Cricetulus griseus: one gene and its partner. The protein of the gene in region 1 binds, or shares a complex with, the protein of each later gene. Links are inferred from orthologs where the notes say so. Each region holds a gene or a part of one and is shown in the gene's direction. Other genes may lie near its edges.

Evidence for each region.
Region 2: the proteins of Il1a (region 1) and S100a13 are in contact, whole or in part, in an NMR structure (PDB 2L5X), measured with the Homo sapiens proteins. The link is inferred for Cricetulus griseus from reciprocal best matches to the Homo sapiens genes IL1A and S100A13. Residues at the interface, in NP_000566.3 of Homo sapiens: Asn148, Gln150, Tyr151, Thr194, Ala195, Gln196, Asp197, Leu203, Leu204, Lys205, Glu206, Met207, Gly216, Ser217, Glu218, Thr219, Asn220, His239; in NP_001019381.1 of Homo sapiens: Met1, Arg25, Gln26, Glu27, Gly28, Arg29, Lys30, Asp31, Ser34, Asp68, Ser69, Glu70, Lys72, Phe73.

Annotation. Positions count from the first base shown.
Region 1 is NC_048599.1:49,261,424-49,265,670, forward strand, and holds the start of Il1a (interleukin-1 alpha), read left to right. Parts: upstream 1-1,227; coding exon 1,228-1,274; intron 1,275-2,361; coding exon 2,362-2,410; intron 2,411-3,566; coding exon 3,567-3,795; intron 3,796-4,247. UniProt on the Homo sapiens protein: Cytokine constitutively present intracellularly in nearly all resting non-hematopoietic cells that plays an important role in inflammation and bridges the innate and adaptive immune systems.
Region 2 is NW_023276806.1:64,028,050-64,031,735, reverse strand, and holds the end of S100a13 (protein S100-A13), read left to right. Parts: intron 1-2,934; coding exon 2,935-3,078; 3' UTR 3,079-3,173; downstream 3,174-3,686. UniProt on the Homo sapiens protein: Plays a role in the export of proteins that lack a signal peptide and are secreted by an alternative pathway. Binds two calcium ions per subunit. Binds one copper ion. Binding of one copper ion does not interfere with calcium binding.

The DNA of each region.
Region 1 (4,247 bases):
CATACTCAGACTGCTGACTTACTCAAGCAAACCTTTCTCTTCAGAGGGGAGGGGTAAACCTCATTTTCCCTCAAATGCCATGACTTAGCTGCCAATTATCCTGCCCAGATTCAGTCCTGGAGCACAATAAACAAATTAGGCCAAACACAAAGTATACCCCCGGAGCGCCCATCCTACTCAGTCCAGCCCTCTGATTTGAGCATTTCTGCCTTCCTCTTCCACCAAATGCTCTGGGTGTCTTGGTAAACTTCCTGCTGCTCTTCCCCTTTTTTGTAAGACTACATGTTTATAATCATATGAAACAAGCAATAAATAGATGAATCAAGTCAACAGCCCAAGGAATCTTTGCAAACAACATCATTACCAAGTGTATGAGCTGCATTTCGGCCAGTATCAAGCTGCGTGAACATAGAAAGATACAAAGCAGAATTATTTCCTGTAAATTCCCAGTGACACACTGGCGGGGGCCCCACCTACTTGAGATGATTATAAAAGACAGAGAAGCCTGACTCAGGCATAAGTCTCCAGGGCAGAGAGGGAGTCACCTCATTGGAGCTTGAGTCGGCAAAGGTATTGTCCTTATCACATCTGAGGCTATGGAGATTGTCTTTTGTTTGCTCCTTGACTGTCTTCTCTCAAGGCACCTTCTGTAAGGCTATAGTCTGTTCTCTTTCTTTCTCTTGTTGTTCCTGATTTGGTGTGTAAGCTGGAATCACAGATTTCAGAGAAGAGCTCTCTTTCTAGTGATAAGGACCTGAGGGGGCAGCTGAACAGGATTCCTGGGAGGGAATCCATCAGTTCAGCCTAATCTTTTCCTGTAGATAGGAAATTTCTACTGACAAAAATGAGATATGCTGGTTCCCGTTCTCTATCTCCCTCGCCTCTATAGAAGGCAGATACCTCATGCAGGTGGTTTTCCTTTTTTTTTTTTTCCTTATCCTATTCACCTTTATTGAATGCCTACTATGTGTGATGGAATGGGCTGGACACAAAGAATACCAAGATAGAGAAAACATTCTAAAACAAATGTACAAGTTAAGAGAGGAGAACAAAGCTTATACAAATAATGTAAGGGCGTATGAAGAAGAATAGAGGAAATTCTGGGCATGTGATAAGTCAGCCACTCATTGTAGTTTCTCAAGAAGAGCGAAGCAGGGTCACTGCCCTTGCAAGCACGGGGTTCAGAGGTGGAGAGCTGACCACCACTGTTCTTTTGTAGAGGTCAAGATGGCCAAAGTTCCGGACTTGTTTGAAGACCTGAAGAACTGTTACAGGTAAGAAACACATTCTACTTTTTGTGATTCAATGACTCCAACTAGGTGTTCAAGTGGCCAGTCAAGTGCCATGTTGTCAGAGGCTCTGTAGATATACACTGGCTCTGAAGTCCAGTCAAGACCAGAGAAGAGCTAGAAGGATAAGACCTCCAACATGCTAAAGTGGTATTTCCCTGAGTGAAATGGGAATTTAGAAAAATATTTTTGAGGTGTACTGACTCCTACATAATCTTAAATTAACATCAACTTAGGCACTTGATAGAGTTTGTATGCTCTATACAGCAGCAGCTATTAATGAACTGTTTGAGAGAAAATTCATTCTTGGGAGAACCTGCTCCCAGTCAAGAGGAGGAAACAGCTCTTGGGCACATGAACTCATACCCACAGTGAAACTTCACCCTGATACAGAAGATAAATGAGCAGAGCTGAAATTCTAGAACATTCTTAACTAACAAGATGTTTTTGTTTGCAATTAATGTTAATGCTAATGAAGCTACAAACTAGTGCTTGAATACTGTTAAATATAGAATCTGTTTTAGTATGTGAAAACAATGTATGACAAAGTGTATCTGAAGTACTTCAAAAGTTTCTCTTTTCTTTTAGCAGCTTCAGCCTTTCCTGAAGTCCAATAAGGCTCTTTGATTTATTAATCATGCCTAATTTTTACAGATAAAGTGCAAAGCTGTTCTAATAATTACTAACTCCAAATTAGTAGACAAATGAGTTACTATGTGTGTAGACATGAATATGCAGAAGTCTTTAGCTTTTCAAAGAGTAGTGTGTGTGTGTGTGTGTGTGTGTGTGTGTGTGTGTGTGTGTGTGTGTGTGTTCGTGTGCCCAAGTTACTGTAAGGCTGACTCTCATCCTGACTGGGATCGAGTTCTCCAAAGAAAGAAGTAACTCTTAAACAGCCACTAAAACCCAGTGCTGTGTTAGAGCATTCAGACTCAATAGTACCTATGTCTAAATCAGTATTCAGGAATGTTGTCTGTATTACCAAAAGCTAATGTGGTCATTAAGATATGATGCCTACGGACCTCAGTGGAATGATGAACAAAAATACAGTCTCCTTATATGTTTTTGACAGTGAAAATGAAGAATACAGTTCTGCCCTTGATCATCTCTCTCTGAGTCAGGTAAGCATATGGTTATCATTCTTATAGATTTGGATTTTCTTTTTACATACTACCAGAAATGCAAAATGAAGGTTGAGTATTATACACTTTTGTTAAAGGTCTAAAATACATTTATTTATTATTAGTGAGATCACTTGCCTCTCTATACTAATAGTTAACTGGCATTCTTCATGCTCATTGACTCTTCCATAACAGAGAAGAAGGGTTATCTGAAGCCCTAAGAACTTCTGGGCCAGGCTCCTTCAAATTGTTAGTTTTGGCATCTTTAGCCAGTTGCTTCAATCCACCTCACCTGGACACCTCTCCTAACATGCTATGTTGACATCATTCTCTGATAGCCCACAGAACTGAGGGAGAGGAAGCTGGCTAAGAGAAAGGGAAAACGTCACACACACTCAGCATGTTATTTTGTGTATCTGTGATACCTGTTTTAAAAGCTGCTTCCAGAAAAATAGACACACCAACGGTATCCATGGGTCCTTGACTGCAAGGCCCCCTAGGGAGATCACCTCCTGCAGATGTTCAAGTCCTTTATATTAAGTGACCTTCTATTTATATAAAATATACATGTATTCTGAAATAACTTTAAATCATATCTAGATGTCTTAAAACTACACCTGCCACACTGTGAATGCTATAGAAACAATTGTTATACTTATGAATCAGTGATTATATTATTTAGGAAGTAATTACAAAAAGATTCACATTTTAGTACAAATGTGATTTAGGTTTAAAAAATATTTTGAACCTTAAGGTTAGTTTAATTTGAGCAGGCAACACAGAGGGCCAAAAGTATTTTTTAAAATATTTTGAGTACTCTGGAATAGATGTCAAACCTTTTGACAGAAGGATCTCACTCACCAGGATCACATGTTAATCTGTTTAATTAAAATTTTTTCTTTTTGAGCCTAAAGGTGGGTGAAAAGACCCCCCCTCAACCCCAGCCTTGGTTTCAGGGAAATCCAAGAATGGAATGGAGCAGAAGGGAAGGAAGGGCAGTGGAGGATGAGAGGGGAGGGAGGGATGAAGCACAGGTTGGTTCCCTACACCCAGAAGGGAGATCCGTCTCACTAAGTCTGTAGGATACAGACCCTACTAAAGAGTCTCATCATGAGGTCATAGGTAAGCGCTCAGGTGCCACTTCCCTTCCTTACAGAAATCCTTCTACGATGCAAGCTGTGGCTCACTTCATGAGAATTGCACAGATAAATTTGTATCTCTGAGAACCTCTGAAACCTCAAAGGTGTCCAACTTCACCTTTGAGGAGAGCCTAGTGATGGTGGCAGCATCATCAGACTCAGGGAAGATTCTGAAGAAGAGACGGCTGGGCTTCAATCAGGCCTTTGCTGAAGATGACCTGGAGACCATAACCCGCAATTTAGAAGGTAAGGGATGAAACATAACAAAAATCCAATTTTTTAGTTTTAAGAAAATGATGATAATGAAGTAGAAAGAAAATAAATCTTGGAACCAAAATAATAGGACATTAGGTCAATAACTATAACAAAGAAAGATTAAATGCTGCTCTTCTCCAGAAGGGAGAGATCAATGGTAACCTGAGTCTAGAACAGTTGTTGAAGGGTTCCTTTCTTGGCTGTATTATAAAGGTCATCCAAAGGTCTTTGGTTGGAGAGAAAGCAGTCACAGTCCATTAGCCCATGACCTCTACTAGGTTCCATCTCCTTAGTCATGATCCTCCGTCTCTCTGGGCTTCAGTTCCCCATACTGTGAATAGAGATGACCAAGTCTTACACCTCACTGGGTTCCTGTAAAGATTAAAGAAGCCAATACCTCAAAACATTTAGACTAGAAGAATGTCTAATGTGAAGTCATCACC
Region 2 (3,686 bases), on another chromosome or scaffold:
CAGCTCATACTATTTCTTTTTTTTATGTTAAAAAGAGTCCAATAACAGGAGGTGCTGTGTCTGCCTCCTGAGTGCTAGGATTGCAGCCTGTGCTGTCACACCTGGTTTATGTGGTGCTGTGGACAGAACCCAGGGCTTTGTGCATGCTAGGCCAACACTCTGCCAACTGGGCTGTCTTCCCAGGCTGCAGGTGGGCTTTTCTTTCCCGCCATCTGGTTCCCAAATAACCACACGGAGACTTATTAATTGTAAATGTTTGGCCAATAGCTAGACTTGTTACTATTACAATTTAAATTAACCTATTTCCATTAATCTATGTGCTGTCCTGAGGCTTGTTTACCTCATGTATGTATTTCCCTTCCTGCTTGCTCATGGCATCTCCTTAGCCTCTGCCCTCCTTCCCAGCGTCCTCCTAGTCTGGCTGTCCTGCCCAGCAATAAGGTCAGTCAGCTCTTTTATTAACCCATGAGAATAATACATATTTACAGTGTACAAAGATTGTCCCACAGCAGCCCCATGAAGTTTTTAGAGTCCCAGAACAGAGGAAAGTACTAATTCAAGGCATTTATTGATTATATTTGTGAGGTTATCAGGCCAGGCAGATTTTACAGCAAAGCAAAGCTGGGAGGTCACTGCTATAGATATTTTTTTGTTTTTGTTTTTTGAGGCAGGGCTTCACTGTAGCTTTGGAGCCTGTCCTGGAGCTTGCTCTGTAGATCAGGCTGCTGCTATAAGCTATCTGATGACATGCTTAGCTTTACGTTGGTGAAAGCTAGCAGCAAGTTAATACTTTCCAAAGGTTTTACCTGAGGTTAAATGGGATACAGAAGGTGAGTGCTAAGTGGCTAAAAGACTAAGGGGCTAAAAATAGCCCAAAATGATCTTAGCCCTGTATCTGCAACATTCCAACTCTTTGAAATCACAGCATTCTAATCTGTTAGCCCTGTACACTCCCACGTGGGATAAAGAGCTAGAATTCAAGGCTAGCTTGGGCTATACAGTGAGAATTTGTCTCAAAACAAACCAAAAACAGGTAGAACCCAAATTAACTTTCTATGCTTAGTGTGAAGAGGGAGAAATTTGGCTTTTATTTTCCAATTCCTTAATTCAGTTTTCTTAGAGGAGGCCTAATTGTGACATTTATGCATACGTGCTACTTCACTTAAAAAATATTAAATAGGATTTCTCTTTATATTTTCTTTCTTTCTTCCTTCCTTCTTTTCTTCTTCCTTCCTTCCTTCCTTCCTTCCTTCCTTCCTTCCTTCCTTCCTCCTCCTCCTCTTCCTCCTGTTTTGTTTTTTGAGACAGGGCTTCTCTGTGTAGCCCTGGCTGTCCTGGAACTCTCTCTGCAGACCAAGCTGGCCTTGAACTCAGAGAGATCCACCTGCCTCTGCCTCTCAAGTGCTAGAGATTTGTTTGGCAGATCTTTGCCTTTGTCTAGATGTTTACCCAAATGTTAAACATGGAGGCTGGAGAGATTGCTCAGTGGTTAGGTAAACTGCACTTGCAAAGGACTGAGACTCAGTTCCCAGCACCCACATGGCAGCTCAGATCCATCTGTAACTTCTGTTCAGAGAGTAGCCTTGGTTGGTTTGAAAGAAAATGGCCCCCAAAGGGAATGGTGTAAGGATTTGAATCTCTTTATTCAAGAAGACACCAGGGCAAAACACAGGCCAGAGCTAGGTTATAGAACCCAGCAAGCACGGCCAGAACAAAAGGGGCCAAGGTCCCCACGTGCAGCTCCTTAAGAAGCTCCCTTACGTCACCCCGGCTTTCCTTCACCACGCCCTTATGGGCGAGTCCCGGGTCCACCTGGTACCTGTCCCAGGACTATTGGGCAGGGCTAGGGTGTCTCCCTACAGAATGGCACTATTAGGAGGTGTGGCCTTGTTAGAGTAGGAATGGTCTTGTTGGAGGAAGTGTTTCACTGCAGAGGCAGGCTTTGAGGGTTCATATATGCTCAAGTCATGCCCAGGGAGACAGTCCACTTCCTGTTGCCTTCTGATCATGATATAGCCAGCACCATGTCTGTCTGTATGCCACCATGCTTCCTGCCATGATGATAATGGAATAAACTTCTGAACTGTAAGCCACCACCTCAATTAAATGTTTTCCTTTATAAGAAATTGCCGAGGTCATGGTGTCCCCCTCCCCCCTTTTGGTTTTTCTAGGCAGGGTTTCTCTGTGGCTTTGGAGGCTGCCCTGGAAATACCTGTTGTAGATCAGGCTGGTCTCGAACTCACAGAGATCCACCTGCCACTGCCTCCCAAGTGCTGGAATTAAAGGCATGGGCCACCTACGCCCAGCCATAGTGTCTCTTAACAGCAATAGAGATCCTTTTGTGATCTTTTTGTGATCTTTTTGTGATCTCTGTGGGCACCAGGCATGCATGTGATACATATGCATATCACATGTTGGCAAAATACACATAAAATAAAATGAATGAATCTAACCCCCTCCCAAGAAACCCCTCAATGTTGAGAATCAAGCTCCATGTGAGACATTCTTCAATCTGACACCCACCAGTGATTCAACAATGACACTTATGGTTGAAATTGTTTATCTGGCAACAAATCCTTTCATCAGGGCTTACAGAATCCATTGGTTTTATAGCCATGAGATACTTTGTCAAGAGCACCCTAGAAAACACCCTCAGTGTTTTTGCTATTCCTCTGACCTACTCGGTGGTGACTAAGTTGAGATGTTAGGATGATGCAAATGAGCAGTATTGGCAGTAATGCAAGGAAGAAGACAGCTTATGCTCAGCCACAGGGTCTGCTGGTGTCCCTTGGATGTGGGACCTCAGGCAGTGCAGTCCTGGGTCTACAGCCTCATCCTTGGGCAGGCATCGATGTCTGAGAGAAGCACCTGATGGTTCTTCCCACTCTCTCTGCCTCAAGAGCCCTAGTTTCTAACCCTTTTATGTCTTTGTAGGACGTGGGCTCTCTTGACGAGAAGATGAAGAGCTTGGATGTGAACCAGGACTCGGAGCTGAAGTTCAATGAGTACTGGAGACTGATTGGGGAACTGGCGAAGGAAATCAGGAAGGAGAAAGCCTTGGAAATCCGGAAGAAGTAAAGCCTGCTTGCTGGGATGGGGGCCCAGCACGGCCTGCTGGGCAGGGCCAGGCAGAACTCCACTCCCCCAAATAAAAACTTCCTTCTTGAAACACAGATTTCTATCTGAATTTCTTTTCTTGAGACCAGGGAAAGGGTCTTTATCTGCGGTGAAAAAAATGAAAATTGTAGGCACTTTGAAGGCAAGGACTGTGATTCATCTTCAAATATCCTACAACATCTAGCATTCTACCTACAATGAGGTTTTTTTTTTTTTTGTCCCTCTGGTGTTGAGGACAGAACTCAGGCCCTTGAGCAAATGTGTCATAGCAATAGGTCTTGCGTTAAGTAGGTGCTTAGTTGATCAGTGAAAAATACGGATATTTGAGGCAGGCCGTTCCTGGGGCTCAGCTCCATGGCTCTAGCTCCCAGTTTCCCCCATATAACTCCTGGAGTTTGTTCTTTGGCTGGTAATGATAATAATGAACGCCTGCTAAACATTTTACTCATATACCTCTAATTAACTGTCACAGCAGTTAAGGTTAATTCATTCAATTAGTTTTTGCAGTGTTGAAGATTAACCTAAGATCTTGCACATGTTAGGCAATTGGAAGGAGTCACACCCCCAGC